Linked DNA regions of Schizosaccharomyces pombe. The gene in region 4 interacts genetically with the main gene of each other region. Each region holds a gene or a part of one and is shown on either strand. Other genes may lie near its edges. The genes, in order: its3, ptc3, ptc1 and pck2.

Region 1 (5,119 bases), on a different chromosome or scaffold from region 4:
CCTTCCAGTATCAACAAAGGAGGAATTGTCAAACAGATTTTAAGTTCGTATCCAGAAGATTCACTTCCTTCTTTTATCTTTTGTGCAGGTGATGATAGAACTGATGAAGATATGTTCCGCTCTTTGCATAAAAACACTCGTATTAACAAGGAAACTTCATTTGCAGTTACCATTGGATCCGACAAAAAGCTTTCTATCGCCGACTGGTGTATCGCAGACCCTGCAAATGTTATTGATATCCTTGCTGATTTGGCAAATTTTACTAACTGAATGACAAACTAACTATTTCAACGAAGATGCCCGATTCATCTTGTTCTTTACAAAGATTTATTTATTGAGACACACAATCCTGGATCTTAGTTCAGCCTTTAAATTAATTTATGCTCTAGTTATTTATGTTTAGTTGAGAGGTCTTCGTAATTGAACTACTTCCACTACTATGAATCGCTCTTTTCTAAGTACATACGTTTACTCGTTACAAAAGCATACTTTCTTCCTAATGAATTTTAAGTTATATCATAATAATATAGCTTTTTGACAAAGATTGGTGAGGAACTGACGAACATAAGTTATTTGAGATGTAAATAATAAAAGCGCTAATTAGAGCAATAAGTTATAGGTTGTGCATCCGTTAATGCACTTCGGCATACATGCTTTGCTTTGTTTTTTCTCTAAAATAAAAAGATAAATTAGCCAATATATACAAGAATAAAAAGGTGGTAAAGCATTATAAATAAATGCATTAAACTTGAAATATGTGCACTTCAAAGACATTAAAATTTATTAAGATGAAGAAGTGTTCGTAGTAACATTGCGGCATGGGAATGGAAATCGGTGTTCTGTTTTGGGTGATTTATGAGCAGAAGTGCTTTTAGCATTGCGAGAAGAAGGAGCTGTATTATTATTAAGAGAACCATGCTTGTTATTAGTGCGCACATTGCCAGCATTAACGCTTTGCTGTTTGTTAACACGCTGGCCATCCTGCGGTTTTAAGGGGAATGGTTTCAAAACTAAAAGAGTTGGCTTAATACTTGACTCTACAAATTTGTAGAAGCGTGAAGCGTATTCAGCAGGTGGAACAGCAGAAATGACAGAATCTGAATGATTAATGCCCTTCCATAAATGCTCAACGCGCTTAACATATGAATACTAAACACCGGTAAGTATAATGAAAATAAAAGCAAACAAGGAAAACAAGTAAAAGACTTTGCATTCCCATAAAAAAATTTACGCAATTTATCATACCTTAGTAAGTAAGTCAATTATTCCGATATAAAAGATAAAGTTTCCTGGCTCATTGTTTTCATCGGTGGCTTGGAATCCACCGTCATCACTGTAGAACATGAAGTTTCTTCTCCTAAAATAGTGTTAAAAAATAGTCTAATTGTTAAAAAAATAATAAGCACTTACTCAACGAACTGGTCGGTCGGCAATAGATTACAAGATTGATCCAACGAAACAGGACCGGTGCTATTAACGACTTGTCTGATTACATGAACGTTTGAGTGAGATTCATTGCCATTAATCGAGGGCACTCGATGTTGCGACACATTTGGGTCGTAAACTGACAGAATGCTATTACGAATTTTGTCACGATTACCACGTGAAAGGTCATGGATGCCGACAAGTAAACTGTAATCCATAATTCCTAAAGAGGACAGCATATCAATATCGGCTTTGACCTGAGTTAAGAATATCTGACGCTTTAAAGGACCAAACTGAAGATGCATATTTCTGCGAATCCAATTTGTATCTTTCATTGTACACATGGGACTTTGACAAGGTTGATTTTCGTCGAGTTCCCTTCCTAGGGTGGATCCTTTGAGATCAAAAGTTTGGTGGATATCACGATGAGGTGGGAAAAGGTTGTTCATTACAACAAAATGGATTTTTCGGCCAAAGGGTAATTTTACCCTATGCAACCCATAAAATTGCGAAATCAATGTGTTCGGATTATTCTTGACGTGTTCGTAGTAATCATAAAGAATTTCACGCAAAAATTTGTGCTCAGAGTGATGGATTGTTTTAATAATGAATCGATAGTCACGAGAAAAATAAAAAAAAGAACCACTTTTCCCAGGAGAATCTAACTCAGACAAAATGTACTTACTGGTAAGAGATACAAGATAATCTGCAGCATCTAAATGAAACAGCTGCCTTAGATGTCTAAATACCCAAGGTGCATAATCTTTGAACTTAAAATCATACTTGGCGGAGGGAGTGAGTTCGTTGCCAGTAATGTCAAAGGTAAACTTGTGACGAGCAGTAAAATCAGCAGGAGTAAGCTCACGGTCCATTTTCGCTTGGCAACGAGAAACACCGACGCGAATTCCAGTAAGCATGTTGTACGCTGTAACATAGTTTTCATGGCCCTCTGAAACTCTAGTTCCAACGAGAACGCACTCATCGTCCAGTTCTTCCCTGCGACGGCGCATGTTAACACGTTTTTGTTTGACTGCTTCAGCCCAGCTAGCAGAGCCAATATCGGGGGGAATGCCATCCAAAAGAGAACCCGAGGTACTGACGTTGGTACCTCGGTCGCCGGATCTCGAGCCAGAAGGTTCAGCGTTGCTAGAATTTTTTTCGGAGTAAGATCGCTTTAGCGGCCGCTTCGCCTTCTGCGAGGAGCTGAGCGTGGAACGATCATTAGGTGGCTGCTGAGATGAGGTTACAGGGTTGGAGGAAGAGCGATCTATGGGGGCGCGAGAAGGTTGAGGAGAGGATAATTGATGCTTTAAATTTTGTAATTGGGGAGAAGAGGAAGAATTGGAGGAAGGAGGCTCGAGGGCACTTACGATGGGAGAATCTCTCAAGATACCATCAGGTACGCCAGTAGCCGTAATTACCGAATCGTTAGAAGAGGAAGAAGGAGAGTGGGCAGTGGGATTTGAGGGGAAATCTTGATTTTCCTTAAATAATGAATCGTTAGGTTCATAAATATGGGTCTCCGACCGAACTTCGATTTTGGGGTTGGTATGAAGAACATCGTGGCGCATCGTACGTTCGAAATCGTTTTTATGGGATATCAAATCCTTTTTTTGAAACGTACCATTTGGAGCAAAAGCATTCCCATTCAAATCGACAGCCTGCTTTTCATCATACGAAGGGATTTCGTTCGTTATAGAATGCGGATTCACTATGCCGTTTGAATCAATTTTCATTAGTGTTTCCTACAAACATATATGAAGAGTTAAAAATTTACTCGCCAATGGACTCCAAACACAATTTTTGATTCCGTTTTTTAACAAACAATTTGAAGACGTCAATTTCGTCGTTTTTCAGTTCCTACAAAAGCAAGTTTTTTCCCAAGTTATTCAAAATGTTTTAATTTACCGAAAAGAGCAGCTTAATTCTCTTTTTTATCAACTCTTTCACCGCAAAACACTTGATACCAGCGAAGTGTTGTTTCTACCAGTTTCTTCCCTAGATATATAAAGTCACCGGAGTTCACCGAATTGTCCGGCACATTCTCCAATAATTCGCACTAATGGCAGTAAATGGATAAAATTATCGCTTTCTGTATGGGAAAGGAGCAATCCCGAATTTACCAAGCCAAAAACTTCTGAAACCCAGTTCCATTATTGCGAATAGTCCATAAGCTTGCGATGTTTGAAGTCGTTGACAACGTCGATTTCGTTGAATGTAAACAAAACGAATCTGCTCAACGTAAACAAAAGCATCGATATGGGTGTGTTGCGTGAAGAGCTGGATGCTGTAAATCCAATTTTATAAAGGCTTACTTTTTAGAACCTCTATTAATCAATTTATAATGATTAAGCTTGCATGGATAAGTACAGCAAATGATTGAGCTATTTTGAAAATCTAAAGATTTGAAATTTCCTTAAAAAAAAAATAAATAATAAAATAAAGTTAAAAAAAATTAAAGTAAGATACACATAACGTATACTTCGTTTATTTCAAACATATCAATTTATTTTTATTTTCCAAAAATATATATATATATATATATTTAACAAAAAGAAAAAGGAAATATCCAATATTCCTTTTCTTCGTTCTCAAGTTTACTTTGAATGTCTATAATATAAAGAAGCTAGCACTGAATATTCAACTTTAAGAATCCATTGAAATTATAATCAAAGGACAGTATCTAATGTTTTTTGTCTTACTAGATAGATAATTGCTTTTCCCATTCCTTCGGGTTTTGTGCACAAGTAAATAAAGAACTTCGGATAGAATCTTAAGAGGCTTGGGTAGTAAAAACATTCAATCAGATGGATCATTTAGTTCTAGCAAATAACAAATTAGAGTAATTTTTGAGATTGAATAAGGAAAAATATCTTGGAAGAAATGATCAATCGCCTAAAGCATGTTTATTTCGTAAGCTTTTCATGTCTTAAGGCACAAACACCACCGTGATCCAAGGTAATTGGCATAGCGTTATGAAAATGAAGGACTTAAAATGGAGAGTAAAATTTATTCTTTTGTCACGCCAAAGTCGATCTTCCATTCAAATACTTTTTTCATTTGGAAATTTTGCTTACCGCTTTTTTGGATAAAGCAGTTCACTGTTTAAGGGAATAATTTATAACATTAAACAAAATACACTTCTTTAAGGAGTTAAATTCGTCTTCTGTACGATGTTCCAAGAAACATAACAGTAGACAAAGCTATTCGATCCATTCGTTTTTAGATTTCTTTATTAAATGATTTATTTTCTCTTACGGAATGGTATTCATTTTATCTCGTAGACCAACTTACATTGACTTTACCAACTTTTTATACTTTTATCCTTCGTGTATAGATTAGTTTTTTCCATAAAATGAATGAGAAGATTCGTTCACAATCTGTGCTGAATACACTAGAAACGTTTTTCATCAAGGAAAATCATTATGATATGCAGAGAGAAGAATCTTCCATTGTGAACGGTATGAAAGCCAATCTTGAAAATCATTAACCAATTAGCCTGCTTACGATATTTGGGTTATTCGAAATCAATGTGTCATGAAAAAATGCCGATATTCATGGATATCGCATTCATTGAGTATTGCTTCAATCTTTCGCTTGACCCTTCTTCATTTCAAAACCTTCCGATTACCCAAACTCAGCCGGATAGTCAACAAATTCTTTGGGAATATTCTCTTATTAGCAATGCTTTAGA
Region 2 (4,535 bases), on a different chromosome or scaffold from region 4:
CGAGCTTAATGTCGGTAAAATACCTTCGGAACTGACCTCACAAGATTTCAAAGAACTTGCTAAAATGACCGATGGCTACTCGGGTTCAGATATTTCTATTGTTGTTCGTGATGCAATAATGGAGCCTGTAAGACGAATTCACACAGCTACCCATTTCAAAGAGGTATATGATAACAAGTCTAATAGGACCCTTGTAACTCCTTGTTCTCCTGGTGATCCTGATGCATTTGAATCTAGTTGGCTAGAGGTGAATCCTGAAGACATTATGGAACCAAAACTTACTGTTCGAGATTTCTACAGTGCAGTTCGTAAAGTCAAGCCTACGCTTAATGCTGGTGATATAGAAAAGCACACACAATTTACAAAGGACTTTGGAGCAGAGGGATAGTAATATGATAAAGGAGCTATTTTCGCTTAGTTTAATGATACCATTATTGTAAAGAAGTATAATATCATGACTACACTCACAAATGTTGAATCACTTTAGTAAATTATGGAACTAGTAGAATATTGAAGGGAATGTATATTGCTTCGACAATATCTATTAGGGCAATCGGAAATTAGTCTGGGTATGTTTACTCATGCCAGAGAAATATTTTCCATAATCTTAACTGATTTTGAATCAGGATTATAAAAGACAGTATTCGACAAAATTGATATAGAAATCGCATGCTATCAAAAAGTGCAAAGTAGCAACGTACCAAAAACCTTTTCATTCTCGGAGGTAATCGGTATACGTCGCAGGCACGTATTATACGAACAACAAAAGAAAAGCATGAAAAAATGTTGAAACAAAACCGCCTAGCGTGACTTTTATAATAAGTCAACAAATAATGCTAATTACGAGGAATATTCCTAAAAGCAAGTTACATTGTGTAATATGCGTGAAGTAGGGAATAATCAATCTGCTGCAGACACAGCCTCCTTATGATCATCCGCAACATCTTTGTTAGAATTTACGATATCGGTTTCACTTGAAGAATTTTCCTCCTCGGCTTTATGAGGGAAAAAGTGTTCTTTCCATCTGAACCCAGCTGCAAGGGATCCGTTGGTGGAATCATCTTCCTTAGAATTTTCATTCGCATCTTTGTCATATCCATCAGATCCATTTAACTTTACTTGATGAAAATTAGGTGGGACAATAACTTTCTTATTGTTATCGCCACTACGCCATCCTGGGCCATGATTTTCGGCATACTCAGGAGGAGCGCAGGGTCCGTCGTTAGCGGCAACTCTATCTGCAATCTTCTTATACCATGCTGATTTATCGTTTTCTTGCAATAAGGCAACTATACAAACAGTCATGTTGTCACAACCAAGGCCGGTAGTTTCGGTGTCACTGGCTATGCAGTTATCCATTAAATTTTCAGCAATCTTCTCAAGAGAGGTTCCAGCAACTATGCCACGTCTAACAAACTCGATCACTTGCTGCGAAGTCTTGCAATCCCAAATACCATCACAAGCGAGTACGACGAATTCATCATCGTCAGTAATCTCATGTACAACAACATCCGGTAAGGCAGTAACTATTTGTTTTTCTGGTTCTAAATTACTGTTTTTGAACTCAAAATCACCGATAGCTCTTGACAAAGCCAAATTTCCATTTACACGGCCAAAGTCTACAAAGCCACCAGCCGCACAAATACGGGCTTTTTCGGCTTCATTTGAAGGCTTATGGTCTGCTGATAGAGGTTTTGCAATTCCCTTACTGCCAAGGACAGTTCTTGAGTCACCGGCATTAGCCTACACAATTAGTAAGACTAAACAACTTCCAAGACTTACACAATAAAGTTTATTTCCAACACGAAGAACAACAGTGGCCGTGCAACCTGATGGATCCGTATGAAATTGATCATCTGTCAAAATAGTTAGCAAAATGCAATGTAGTGAAATGACAAATTTTTTTTCTGAAACCAAACTAAATGTAACAACTTTTCAACATCAAGAGGTAAACATTTCTATTATCTTGGTAACAATTTTTCTAAGCATTAACTAGACAAAAGAACAAAAAATCTATAAAAATTTCAAACACAAAATTCATCAATTTTTTGGCGACTTTAAAATGGTTATGATATCAATGAAAACAACTTTATCATTGTTAACAACAAACTTACCATCCAAAATAGCTTTATCAGCATTTAAAAATGAAGATTTCAAAGCATTAACAAAATCGCCTTTCTGAAAATCAGGATTCTTTTCAAGAATCTGAGGAAGATTGCTTCCACACCATTTCGCGACTTTGTCTCCACCGTGGCCGTCATAAACCGCAAAAAAGTCGACCGGGTCTTTTACTGCAGAGCACTCCATTGAAAGTATAGCAGAATGAGCATCTTCCATTGAGATACGCCATCCTTGCATGCTTGAAAGTCCATAAAGGACGAACTCATTGCTCCCGTTCACCGAGTGCTTCTCGGTGACTGGCTCTGATAATGTCTGACCCATTGACAGCTCTTGCTAATAGATGACACAAATTTTCACGTTTTCTTTTTGTGTCGCTTCAAAACGGGTTATGTAGTAGTGATAGGTAAATCGCTAGTAGGTGGTGGAGCTTGTCGGAGGGAGTGTTGTGGCACCCTCTACAACTACATCACCACCGTGGAGACGAACGATAGTTGTTAAAAGACTATGGAAGGTAACAAGATTAGCAGTAGTCAAGGCATATATGTAAACAACAGAATAAATGGTATCAAGGACTAAATACTTATAAATTTCAAATGTTCATTAAAAAACATGTGTAAACATAGCATATCCTATAAATTGATTTTTCAATGGTTTGCATTTTACTATGACTACAATAGAGACAAAAACAACGCTGAGTAGAATGCCCCAACAAATTCAGCAACTTGATTCAGAAAAAATTTCTATTAGGCAAAAATGATATTATTTTGATTCAATTAAAAATTCCATTGGATTTAATAAATGACCAAATAAATTCTACTTATTAGAAAGAAAATTGAAATAGAACTATTTGATAGGAGTAATAAATCTTAGCAATAGCAAGTAGGATAACAGTTTTATAACAACATCAACAATGAAGATATACATAACTTTGAAAAATAGCACAAGAAGCTAATCTTTACGTTGCTCACTTTTAGCAAGTCCTTCAGCTAAACCTGTATAGTAGCCCGCATAGTACCAGCTCATGATAAGCTTTTTGTAAGTCTCGTCTAAATCATTATGTTAATAATAGAGAGTCATAAATTTTCTTAGAAGACCTTTTACTTACCATATGTTAACCCTCTTATAGGGGGAGGAACTTCCATAAACTCTTGATGTGTCTCTGCTGCCCTTGTTTCAGGCTTTTCGTCGCTAAGGCCTTTATTATCTGCAAACTGTTGGATATGTGTATCTCCTTCCAATGTCGTCTCTGTTTGCTGATTTATCATCTGCTCACCTTCTTCTAGCTTACTTATTGATTCTTCTGTCCGTGCAGCTGAAATTAATTTTTCACCATCTAGCCTAGAATCCGGGTCCGATACTCCTCCCTTTGCTTCAATACTATGATACTTTTTGAATTCATGTAAAGCGGTTTCAAAGGCATTTCTGAGCTCTGAATCATCCCACACTTCTTTTTGGCTCTGGTCCATTTTTGGTACAAGTTGTAGATAATCTATTCCTGTATGTCTTTCTTTGTACCTTAAGAAAGCTTTATTAACAAGTAGTTTCCAACTTTGTTAACTCTTATATTAATTGAATATTATTAAAGTGAAAATATTGTTTATAAAGCACAACGCGTATAACGATAAACAGTTTGAGCTCGGCGATTCCGCTTACTACAACAATTATAATCTGCTGTGGTAACTTAGCTCCTTGCCTTAACTATCAGCCGCCTTAGTGGACAGGACTACAAGAATTCGAGGTCAAAGATATAACGAGGTTCGCACATGGCGATGTGAACTCGTGGAAGTATTGTGAAAGAATGTTTATTCCAATTCATCTTTGTTTACGATTTTGGCTTTATTATACCAAAAAGAAAAAGGAATTGTATAAGCTACAAAAATCAACCTAAATCAGTTATCTAATATCCACACGAATAATTCATTAAATGCTACATGCGCTAATATGGTTTAGCGAGGACTTCTCAGTAAGTTAGCTTTCTGGGATAGATTTTAAACTACCTAATTGAATTTAAGGTAGCTCCACGTAATTACGTTACATATTTTTATGCATCGTCATCTTAATTTACGTTAAGTACATATCGCATTCTGAAAGACCATGCGAATGGGTATTGGATGAGTATCGTTCTACTATCCCTCCTCTACATACATTCATATTTTAAAGATTTTCGTTCATGAAAAACTATCATAACATATTTCAATAGTGTATCTTTTGATAATTTCCTTTTTCCGTTACTTTTTACATGCATATAATACTTGGATAGATCAGATTTTTCTTGTTCTCGATTTTCTGAAACGATCGTTCATTCATTCCTCGATAATTTGACGAAAGGACCCTTAAGTTTGCTACTTTGCAATAATGGCTTTCAATGGATATGGTATTTTCGACAGTGATCCTAGAAAAAGTAAGTATACCTA
Region 3 (4,426 bases), on a different chromosome or scaffold from region 4:
AATAAAAGTACTGCAGGATCGGCTTCTTTGTTTCCTAACCAGCAAATGGGAATTGACTTGCAAGCACAAGAAAACTACAGTGCTGCGTTCGGTAATGATGGCAGCTTTGCTTCGCATTTAACTAATACGTTTGACAACGCTCTAAATCTTCCTACAGACATTCCAACCACTGAAAGCATAAATGACTTGTTTGGTGAGAACTTTGACTTCACCATGACAAAATGAGTTGAGTTGACTTCAGTTCAGCTATGTATGATCGGTTTAACGTGGTTGTTTCAATTTGTCAATGTTTTTTTCATGTATTATTATCTATTACTATAGTCATTCATTTCCAGATCATTCAACAAAAAACCTATAAACGGTAATTATAAAAAACAATTGCATGTCTTTATCCGGTGAGTATCATTTGATTGTATTGCTCTGCACCTTTATGTATGAAAACTAGAGTTGAGACAGTAAGTAGAAAAGCGTTGTCTTTTTCCTATGTTTAGGCCAATGCTAAAATCTCGAATACTTGGTACAATTAGTGTATGTATATATATTTTTACGTGCAAATGGTATTTTAGCAGGAACGGGACAAAATAAAGACAACCCGTAACTTCAGAATAATAATTATAATTCGACTTTTAAATCGAAAATTAAAGACGATAAAAGGGTAAAATAAATTTTTTTTGGTGAACGTATAGCCTTTGTTATAAACACCAATGCATGCACGCAAGTACATTCATAATATTTGCGAAGCAATTGTAAATAAAAATACCGAAAACACTCACGAAGAACCTTAAAAAGAGTGAAATGTTTGTACCTTTAAATGGGTATGAAGAGGGCTAATGATGAATATACGATTGATTCGAACAGTGGCACGCAGATTGGAGGAAAAGGTAGCAAATCATGAAAAAAGAAAAAAGAAACTAGATTTGGACAGATTTAGGATCGATATTTAGACACATTACTTTTAGACAAAAAAGAAGAACAAGAGAAACATGCACAAAGTGGTTTATAAAAAGAAGAGTAATTAATTAGAAAAAATAAGTCGACCCAAAGGAAAACCATGTCCAAATGAGAATACAAGGTCCATAAATAAAGGAAAAGAATCGATGCAATTACAGTGCTTGGTAAACAAAAAAATAGGATTAAGTCATTCCGGCTTCCAAACAAGTACTGTGGATGAGGTAAAGACATCGAAAAACCGTTACGAAACAACAGAAAGCACATCATTGAATCCATCAAATACCTAATAATAGTCATTACTGTATGAATCATTATCAGCGGTAAGTCCTGAATCATCGAGATCACCGGGATTGCGAGTCAAGTTAACTACAATACAAGTGATATTGTCTGTACTAAGACGTTTTAATGCAAATTCTACCAGGCGAACAGCGGCTTCGCGAGGGCTTACGAAATTGCGAACAAAGTCGACAGCTTCCTGATCCGATACTACATCCCACAAGCCATCACAAGCGATAATGAAGAACTCATCATGACCGTTCCAGATTCGGGTTTCAGTGGTGAAGGGATGCGCACTGACCAATTCCTTAAGATAGGTATCACCTAAGGCCCTTGTGACAGCAAGAACGCCATTAATTCGGTTTTGTACCATGAGACCACCCAACTGGGTCACACGACGAGACTCATTGGCATCGGATCCCTTGTGATCGTAAGAAAGTCGAATAGCCTTACCATCACGGCATAATACGATACGTGCATCACCTGCATTAGCTGTGTAGAGAACACGGCGGGTGCGGTTTTTCTCATATCTAAAGAAAGCAACTGCAGCGGTACAACCGCAAATGTCATTGTGAGTAGCCTTTGCAATTTTGCTGTTGACCTCGACAAATGTTTCGTCCATTAGGTCTGTGACCAGCCGGTCCGGCTCATTCCTAACCTTTTCCAAAAGTACCTTGTGAAGATTCTTCTGACAGTAGTCAGATGCTTGAATGCCAGCATGTCCGTCATAAACGGCAACGAAGCCGTCGTCCTGATTACCCCCAAAATCATACAAGCAAATATGAGTATCCTCCATAGACCTACGCCATCTTTGGTTTTTATCCTCCATCAGTCCAGCAAGCCAGTTAGAGGCTTTACTAGGGCGCGAGTTACCAACTGGGACTGTGTTGCCTTTACTATCCTTCATCTCAATTGCAATCGGTCGAGTTTCTCCATCCGCCGAATGATCACTAGCGTTTTTTCGATGTCCACTTGTAGAATTTTCAGAAAATGGGTTCAACTTGTGAAGTGGTTCCAACAGGGAACCTGCATTTGGATGGCTTCCCTTCATATTCGTTCAAACACTTCAGTACCGACAAAAAAATTGCTTTTCAAATTAACTAAATACCTTCAATTATAATATCAGGTATAAAATTGCTGATTGTATAGTATATACGAGAAACACCGATTTTCCTTGGGTTTCTGCGTAAGTATAAACTTGTTAAGTCAGTCAGTGCTAATAAACTCGGGCATTTACGTCACGCGTGGTATACCGAGATCTTCGGAAATCATTTTTACGTACTAGGTTAACTTCCACTAAACCGTTATCCGCTCTGCATTGAACTACATTATAATACAAAAATGCTAACAAAAGGCTATTAGAAAATTAGAAATAGTAAGCAGCAATAAGCTGTTGTTTTGAATATATGAACTAAACGTTTGATTTATTCTAGACAAAAATATTGAACCATGTATTGAAATCCTTCGACTTTTACACTTGCTTTCGCGTGACTTTGGTTCGCATTACTGAAAAAAATTTGTCATGTGTTCGTCTAGTGAATTTGCTAAATATCAATTATCCGGTCTACCCATAATAATCAATTAGAAACGTTTCGCAACATAAACATGCTAACAAGAATAACAGTGTTCATATAAATAATTAAAAGTAACTTTTTCCGTATGTAAAATAAGGATGTGGCTTTGTCCATATCGGCTTTCATAATACAATTAATGAAATTATAATTTGTTTGTATAAGCAAAACAGACAGAACTATCACGAAGTATCCAAAATTTCCATAAACCGAGCCTCAAAGATGAAGTCGAAGAACATTTGAGAAGATTAAAAGAAATAGTGTCCAACTTCTATTTTGCGACAAGATTTATAGAATGCTTGTCGCATGCTCTTGGCTATGCCGCCAACAATAAGCAACGACTTGAAATATTTTAATAATCAAGGGGGAGGTAATAACGGCTCATGGTATGAAAGAAAATAAAATAAATTGCTTTAGAAATAAAAAGAACGAAGGACGGATTTGAGGGGACATGCCTTGGGAGTTCTTACGCAGTAAGGACTTTAACAGCAACAATCATTTTTTTGCGGTTAAGAAAACGAATTAAGGATGTCATTATCAAAATAAAAATCATAAAAAAGCAAGAAGACTCGAATAATGAAAGATGTCAATTTTGATCACACATGACTTCTTGATAAAACAAAAAATTAAAGAACAAGGGTAATGTGTGAAGCAAAGGTACGCCTTTATCGCTCTTTCAACAAGTGTTTTCAACGGATAAATGCCTGTCAGCAGGGACCATGGGCGGACTACTTGGCATCACCAAATCTGTCATCAGAGGAATATCGCGTCTTTCTTCATTATCGAGTTGAGAATTCAACCCCAATTCTAAAGAAAAATCATATCTTTCTGGTAATTGAGGTGAATTCTCAATGTTATTGGATTTTGCAACCGAAGACAATGCCTTTGATAAATCAAACTTTGGCTTATGCCTTGGTGTCAATACGTTTTGGTCAGGGTCAGACAAAAATAACTCTGACCTCCAGGGTGATGGACTTTGTTGTTGCTTTTGTAAGGTAGTTGGTTTTGGAGGGGTTCTGAAATAGCACTCTAAATCATCATTTTCTTTTTCTGAATCGCAAACAGGCAGAGTTGGCTCTGTCTCTTCTTTATTTACTTTAGGCATAGGCTTTGTTGTGGTTTTCAAAGGAAAAGCGACGTTTTCCTTGTCAGTACACATGAAATCAGTTTTTCTTAAAACATCATTTTGTATATTGGCACTTAGTGAATTTGGTAATACCAGCCAACTATCATTAGACCCAATTTCGGATAAAGGCTCACGAAATGATGTATCAGGAGTAGGTGCAACAATGGGAGATGATTGTATGCGTCTGAGGTCATTTTTCAGCTTAGCAGTACGGGGACCTCCTCTGGATTTCTGCTGATTAACAACAGAGGGTTTTGAGATATGATTGGGATCAGGTGCAGAGTGTGTTGAGTCTAAAGACGTAAGTCTATTCAGAGGAGAGTGCCGTCCTGCATTTTCAAGCTCACGGAAGATGGATATAGATAGTTTTCGTTGCTGGGAAAGTTTATATACGGCTAACTCAAGCTGAGCAAATGCATCATTTTCCAACGGTTTCTCTGTTTCAAATGCTTTATAGGTAGACCATAAATTTCTTGGACGCATCGAGCGCCGACTCGTCCAA
Region 4 (6,414 bases):
TCAATGCGGGTGCCAATGTTATTCTTACCACAAAGGGCATTGATGATCTCTGTTTGAAATCCATTATTGAAGCTGGCGCAATGGCTGTTCGTAGATGCAAAAAGGAAGATTTGAGACGTATCGCCAAGGCTTCCGGTGCTACCTTACTCAGTTCATTGTCAAATTTAGAGGGTGAAGAAACCTTTGAAAGTTCCTACTTGGGCTCGGCTGAAGAGGTTGTTCAAGAAAAATTTTCGGATGATGAATGTATTCTTGTCAAAGGAACCAAAGCTTATTCGTCTGCATCAATTGTTCTGCGAGGCCCCAATGAATACTCTTTAGATGAAATGGAGCGTTCAATGCATGATTCTTTAAGCGTCGTCAAACGCACTCTTGAGAGCGGCAAAGTCGTTCCTGGTGGCGGCGCTGTGGAAACAGCTCTGAGCATTTACTTGGAAAATTTTGCTACCTCTTTGGGCTCTCGTGAGCAACTTGCAATTGCTGAGTTTGCACAAGCTTTGTTAATTATTCCCAGAACTTTGGCCGTCAATGCCGCCAAAGACTCTACTGAACTGACAGCTAAGTTGCGTGCTTATCACGCAGCCAGTCAAAATGCTGAGGTTACAGATGTTAAGAAACGGGGATACAAAAATTATGGTCTTGATTTACTTAATGGCGTAATTCGTGATAATGTTAAGGCTGGTGTTCTTGAGCCATCCATGTCTAAGTTGAAAAGTTTGAAGAGCGCCGTTGAGGCATGCATTGCTATTTTACGTATCGATACTAGTATCAAACTTGATCCCGAAAGACAACCAGAAGACCCACATGCAGGGTTGCACTAAAGCAATTACTTAAGCATAGGTATATTTGGCGGGTTTCATTGAATGTATCCAAAAATTTTGCTCCATAGATACAAATGCGATGGATATTAACATATATTAGCACTATAGCTGTTGACCAATAAACGGTAAATTATTAAACTCAGTAAATTACTACTTTGCTAGTGCTTTCATAAACAAAAGTCTAATGCCACTGTATGGATTATTAATGTGCATGCTTATAATATCATAGATACAACCCAGGTAGTAAAGAAATCCAAAAATGTTTAGTTTAAAAAGTCGAAATTAGAATAATTTATCAATGCAATGAAAGATTAAGAAAATGAGAGTAACTTTATGCTCAATTTAAGGTGCTAAGCATTATCGGTAGTCGAGGGTTTATCATCCTCGCATGAATAAGAAAAACCTTCAAAATGTTGCTGCATCTCTTTCGTCAGAATAGAATTAACAGGAGTAAGAACTGGGAGTTCTCGGGTAAATTCCTCATCGAAATACTTGGTGTCCGTAGGTGAATTCAAACTTGGAATGTACGGTGGTTGAGTTCGCTTATGATAGATGTCATCCCAATTAATGTTACTAAAAAATGGATGAGTCATGACATCTTCTGCATCGTTAGGGCCAGATCCAAGTCGTTTTTTAGGATCGCGAGTCAAAAGTTGTTGTAATATAGAAACGGAATCCCTTGGCATATGAATAGGATACAAAGGTTCATCAGATAAAATTGCATCAAAAATTTCTTCTTCGTCTTCTCCTCTAAATGGAGATTGACCAAGCAGCATTTGGTAAATTAGTACACCAAAAGCCCACCAGTCAACGCTTCTCGTATATTGCTGTTCTAATAAGATTTCCGGTGCCATAAATTCAGGAGTACCGCAAAACGTGGCAGTAGTGTTATCATGCCACATGTCTTCCTTACACAAACCATAATCGGCCACTTTAACATGACCATCTGGGCTTAAAAGGATATTATCAAGCTTAAGATCACGGTATATGATACCGTTATCATGAAAGTATTTTAGAGCAAGACACACCTCAGCAGCATAAAACTGTGCCCTTCTACGTGAAAATTGTTCCTGTTGAATGTGAAGCATCAAATCACCACCACTCACAAAATCCATGACAAAGTAAATACGGGTTTCGGTTTGAAAGCAAGAATGCAGGTTTACCAAAAATGGATGACGCTCTCGGTTGGCAACGAGAAAAACGCGTTTTTCGGATTTAGTGCTTTCGACTTCATCGTTTTCTAAGATGAATTCCTTTTTCAAAACTTTAATAGCATACAATTGCTTTTCACTTTTAAGCTCAGCCAGCATTACTTTACCGAAATTTCCTTTGCCTAGCACAGATAAGAAAGTAAAGTCTTCAAGTCCGATACGCTTAGCTTTATGCGTTAGGTCTTGAGCAACAACAGAGGTTTCAACTGATGGTACTGGGATTGGCTCTTTCACAGCATCTAGGGAAGGAGGTTTCGTCAACGCATCAGCTTTGTCATCCACTTTCTGCTCGACAACCTGAACTGTAGCGCCAAGTTTATTATCAGAGACTGATGTCACTTCTAAATTACCGGCATGTACAGGCTTTCTTTTAACCGGTTCAATTGCCAGTGGTTTTGGAGAAGTTGGAACAGGGTCTGCAGGAGTGATAGATGGTGTTGTGGTGGTTGTAATAGAAACGGATGCTTTGTCATTTTCCTTATGTTTCGAAGATGAAGACTTAGACTTTTTATGATGATGATGCTTGTGATGTGAACTTTTCTGTTTATGTTGTTGAGCTTTATAAATTTTAGTTGTACGAATCTCAGAAATAACCCGGTTAGCCATCTCCATAGACATACCACAGAAATCCGGAACAAGATGAACACACTGAGCGTGCGCAGTTATTCCACACTCCGTACATTTCCTGGCAGTTTTTCTTCCTAAAGGAAGGATGTAGCCACAGTGACAGCACCAATTAGCACCTATGTTTGTGTGAGATTCAAAATGATGAGGAATTCTATGGTTGATTTTCTCGTATTCGCTAGAAGCAGAATCGCTAGACTTTGAAATGCATTTAGTAACTACCTTTGGATAGCATTTTTTATGACAGGTGTAATGACAATCAATGCACTGCATACCAGCAGCATTCTTCAAAAACTCTCCACATAAAGCACAACGCATAATTTGATAAAATTGATGTTGTAGAAATTTGTGACCATAAACTTCGTGTACGCTTTCCTTGCGTTGACGGATAGCACCTTGACGACCGAGGCCAGCATCCATAGGTCTCTTCCTTGTATTATGCTTTGTGAAATTCATGGTCAAATTAATTTGTCCCATGGGTTCAAGAGAAAACCAAGCACTCACACTTTGATTACCGCTAGCTGTGTTGGGGCGGTCAGTACTTTCAGGCTTTGAAATATTATTAAGAGCAGAAGGTAAAAATATTGAAAGTCTTTGATTAATCATTTTGTCGGCACTAACCCAACCTTTATCTGAAACCTCTTGTTCAACCTTTTTTCGCCTTTGTTTTTCTACTAAATCCGATAACCGTATCCAAAGTAAACCAACAGGTAATAGCAATTTTTCATTTTTCTTTTCGTAAACAACTATTTCGACCTCATTAGTCTTCTCCAGATCAATTTCAAAAGTTTCATTAAAACGGTCGGTGCGGCTTGGACGAGTACGTGCACGCTCAAGATCCTCTGCACGAATTGCAACTATCATTTCCGTTTGCTTGGAGATTCCAGCAGAATGCGTGACGTTCCTTAGAGATCCTACGGTAATTTTAAGGAGACCAGACTGGGGACGACGGGCATTTAAGTTACCTCTACTTTCCGTACTGGGAACATCTTCCTCATCGATTTCGATATGCAAGTCATGGTATCGCTTCAAAGCTTGCTTGAGTAAGGTAATCTTTTGAGCACTTTCTACATACTTCTTCTCTGCTTCAGCTATACTACGACGGTCATGTTCACGCTCATAGAGCTTTGCCATCTTTTCAATACCTTTTCGATATTGTTCCTCAACAGATAATTTGAACTCCAATTGTTGTAATAAGAATGATATCTTTGAAATAGTAAGAGGGGTATCATAATTTAGCAAATCCAAGTTAGAATCGATATTAGAAGAAGTAGAGGAAAAGCTTTTAGCGGATTTTGTAGTGCTAAAGGATGGATTCTTCTCAATGCCAACGGACGGTTTCTCAGAATTACTCTTTCGGACACCATTTTTGCGAAGCTTTAGTTTTTCTAAGCGTTCTTCTAAATAAATAATGCTCTTTTTTGATTCTTCAATATTGCTATGAAGTTGTTGGTGAACTGTCTGATTCTGAGTCAAGCGCTTCATGGAAAGGGCGCCATGAATAACTGATCTTTCTCTTTCAATTTTCCTAACAACTTCTGTTATAGCCTCATCAATCATATCCATTACTTTAAATGGCCTAATCCTGATTTTTCCGCTTAACTTCTTATCTGCAATTTTTCGCTTCCGTTTTTAATATTAATGTGATTATAAGATTTCATTAAGACTTTTAAGCTCGATAAAATGCTAGTAAACACCCGCTTTAGTCCTTTCGATGTTTTCGTACGTTTAGTAGTTGGAAGGCGGTAGCTATGAAGTAAGACTGGCAAGCTCGCAGGGATTTCGCAAGCAATTCAAAGAATCCCACCACTCCATTCCTTTTTCAAAATTTATTGAAATATATGGGCAAATTTTTCAGCGACCCCTGTTATAATTTCGAAGGATTTTGGCACGTTAATCTTGAAAATAACGATTTTACAGAACTTTACCCCATAAATATTTTTGTCACATGTCCAATTTTATTTGATTGATGCTAAAATTGTAATAACGCAAAATAAAAAAATATTGACCAATTAATAGAACAGTTCATTATCCAGCTATCTTATTTGTCTTTTGTTAGTTTTACGGAATCCCGTCAATAATCGCGGGTACGTTATTGTAATCCATGTAATTACTATGTTTGCTGATATTCTTTTAGTTTGCATATCTTTGGTTTAATAACTTTATAATTTATTTATTTTCTCGCTTCATTCAGAAAAGATAGAATTCTCGAATTTGAACGAACATATTAAGAAATTTTTGAATATAGTAATCATCGTATCGTTCATGTCTGATGGAAAACGACACAGGATGGTCTGTGAAAAGTATGTTATTAGTATGATTATTTGGGTCTTTTGCTTGCTAAACTATTAGAATGTATTGATATATTTGGAGAATTTTGTATGTGTGCAACTTTGAACTTCCATTTTTGCTTACAATTCAGTGCTTGTAAGCATTCATTGTATTCTTTACGCTAGAAGACTCTATCCTCAAGGTATTCGATTTTTTAGCTTTTGATTTAACTCTCATATTAGACCTTTTTATAAAAGCTCGAAAATACAATACAATTGTCTGGCAATCAAGGCATCCGATCTTGTGCGAATATATTGAAGAAGTAGTGCAATCTTGTATCGAGGAGCTTCAGACGGTATTCTTAGTCATCCAATTCTTTTTCTAACTGCTCGTCTAGGGATCAGTACATCAAGTTGCACTCTCTATTATTAACAAAGAGCAGCGAGAAGAGGAACGATATGTCTTTTCAACGGATTCTATCCCGATTATTCCTGATTTCTTACTTGAGAAACAGTATGACTATCATTAGCTTGGCATAGGCATCTTTTAACAATATTGTAGAATTTCAACAAATGAGCCATTCACAGATGCTTACGTTGAATACATGAGAGCTTCGCTCATCCAATTACTCAATATAACAAATGGACTTCCTCTTATTGAACAAGGTATAAACAGTATTATTTTCTAAAAAAATATTCTATTACTAAATTCAATTCTAATAATACTGAAATTAGAATGCACTTGGACGCTTCGGGTAACGCTAAAAGATGGTTTTCCCAGACCAAAACAATGGGAAGAGTGGTTTCTTCCGCCGCAAGCGAGAGAAACAGACGCAACAAGGCAATTTAAGGGCATCACCATTCCTGTTCGAAATGTGGATATTGGACCAATGATGACGGAAATTTGGGTCGAGAAATATACAAATTCGGATTAGAGGTATCTCTAATTTTCTTTTCAGAATGTAGTGCAAGAAAAATGGGTATCTGCTATGAAATAAGAGGGGATTAGGTAAAGTAAATAAAGAATCAGTTTTGCGATAAAGGATTATCATTATCAATGAAAGAATTATTAATTTTGAAGTAAAGGTCCCTACCAATAAGAATTATAAATAGTTAGAAAATGTGCCTTACTCTAGGCCCAACCATTTTTTGCAATTCTCATATACCAGATATGAAATAGCGACACTAGGTGCTACCTTCAACAAATTAGGAGACAATCCTTTATAAAGCCCACGGAAACCTTCATTTTTTGTAGTTTTGTAAAAGCAGTCTATAAATCCATCGTATGTTGCAGGATGTGCAGACGTACCTTGCGTTTGTAAACGAGTACGTATGACATTAAGTGGAAACACTATGGTAGCGCCAGTGCTTCCAGAAAGTGCTCCAAATGCCATCACTAAACCATTAGGAAGTTTCACATCTTGTGGATCGACATTGTCACGACTTGCTAAGATACCTATCCATGTCCTCTTAAGGCCCTCAAATGTT

Evidence for each region.
Region 1: mutations in pck2 (region 4) and its3 are lethal when combined (synthetic lethality), as found in Schizosaccharomyces pombe (one study listed by BioGRID).
Region 2: of pck2 (region 4) and ptc3, extra expression of one rescues a mutant of the other (dosage rescue), as found in Schizosaccharomyces pombe (one study listed by BioGRID).
Region 3: of pck2 (region 4) and ptc1, extra expression of one rescues a mutant of the other (dosage rescue), as found in Schizosaccharomyces pombe (one study listed by BioGRID).

What each region holds. Positions count from the first base shown.
Region 1 is NC_003424.3:4,070,418-4,075,536, reverse strand, and holds its3 (1-phosphatidylinositol-4-phosphate 5-kinase Its3), read right to left. Parts: upstream 3,402-5,119; 5' UTR 3,162-3,401; coding exon 1,411-3,161; exon of another isoform or gene 1,358-1,410; coding exon 1,246-1,357; exon of another isoform or gene 1,243-1,245; intron 1,150-1,242; coding exon 784-1,149; 3' UTR 501-783; downstream 1-500. Other genes in the region: trehalose-6-phosphate phosphatase Tpp1, read left to right, coding at 1-270; protein Poz1, read left to right, coding at 4,781-4,886, 4,924-5,119. UniProt on the Schizosaccharomyces pombe protein: Catalyzes the phosphorylation of phosphatidylinositol 4-phosphate on the fifth hydroxyl of the myo-inositol ring, to form phosphatidylinositol 4,5-bisphosphate. Involved, together with the calcineurin ppb1, in cytokinesis.
Region 2 is NC_003424.3:819,263-823,797, forward strand, and holds ptc3 (protein phosphatase PP2C catalytic subunit Ptc3), read right to left. Parts: upstream 2,523-4,535; 5' UTR 2,443-2,522; coding exon 2,115-2,442; intron 1,867-2,114; exon of another isoform or gene 1,857-1,866; coding exon 1,783-1,856; exon of another isoform or gene 1,744-1,782; coding exon 901-1,743; 3' UTR 506-900; downstream 1-505. Other genes in the region: AAA family ATPase Vps4, read left to right, coding at 1-388; smn1 (SMN complex subunit Smn1/Gem1), read right to left, coding at 3,070-3,167, 3,227-3,587; SPOM_SPAC2G11.09 (Ca(2+) transporter), read left to right, coding at 4,477-4,522. UniProt on the Schizosaccharomyces pombe protein: Dephosphorylating regulator for many key proteins. Has an important role in osmotic stability and cell shape control. It may negatively regulate the osmosensing signal transmitted through wis1 map kinase.
Region 3 is NC_003421.2:2,002,531-2,006,956, reverse strand, and holds ptc1 (serine/threonine protein phosphatase PP2C catalytic subunit Ptc1), read right to left. Parts: upstream 2,422-4,426; 5' UTR 2,279-2,421; coding exon 1,235-2,278; 3' UTR 565-1,234; downstream 1-564. Other genes in the region: SPOM_SPCC4F11.03C (uncharacterized protein), read left to right, coding at 1-225; GATA-type transcription factor Ams2, read right to left, coding at 3,475-4,426. UniProt on the Schizosaccharomyces pombe protein: Serine and threonine phosphatase. Has a specialized role in the heat shock response. May be responsible for the dephosphorylation of hsp90.
Region 4 is NC_003423.3:2,308,616-2,315,029, forward strand, and holds pck2 (protein kinase C (PKC)-like Pck2), read right to left. Parts: upstream 4,394-6,414; 5' UTR 4,223-4,393; coding exon 1,172-4,222; 3' UTR 822-1,171; downstream 1-821. Other genes in the region: chaperonin-containing T-complex alpha subunit Cct1, read left to right, coding at 1-821; DNA polymerase zeta Rev7, read left to right, coding at 4,929-4,959, 5,009-5,035, 5,079-5,129, 5,170-5,282, 5,325-5,440, 5,489-5,592, 5,662-5,861; SPOM_SPBC12D12.05C (calcium-binding subfamily carrier protein), read right to left, coding at 6,054-6,414. UniProt on the Schizosaccharomyces pombe protein: Involved in the control of the cell shape. Target of the inhibitor staurosporine.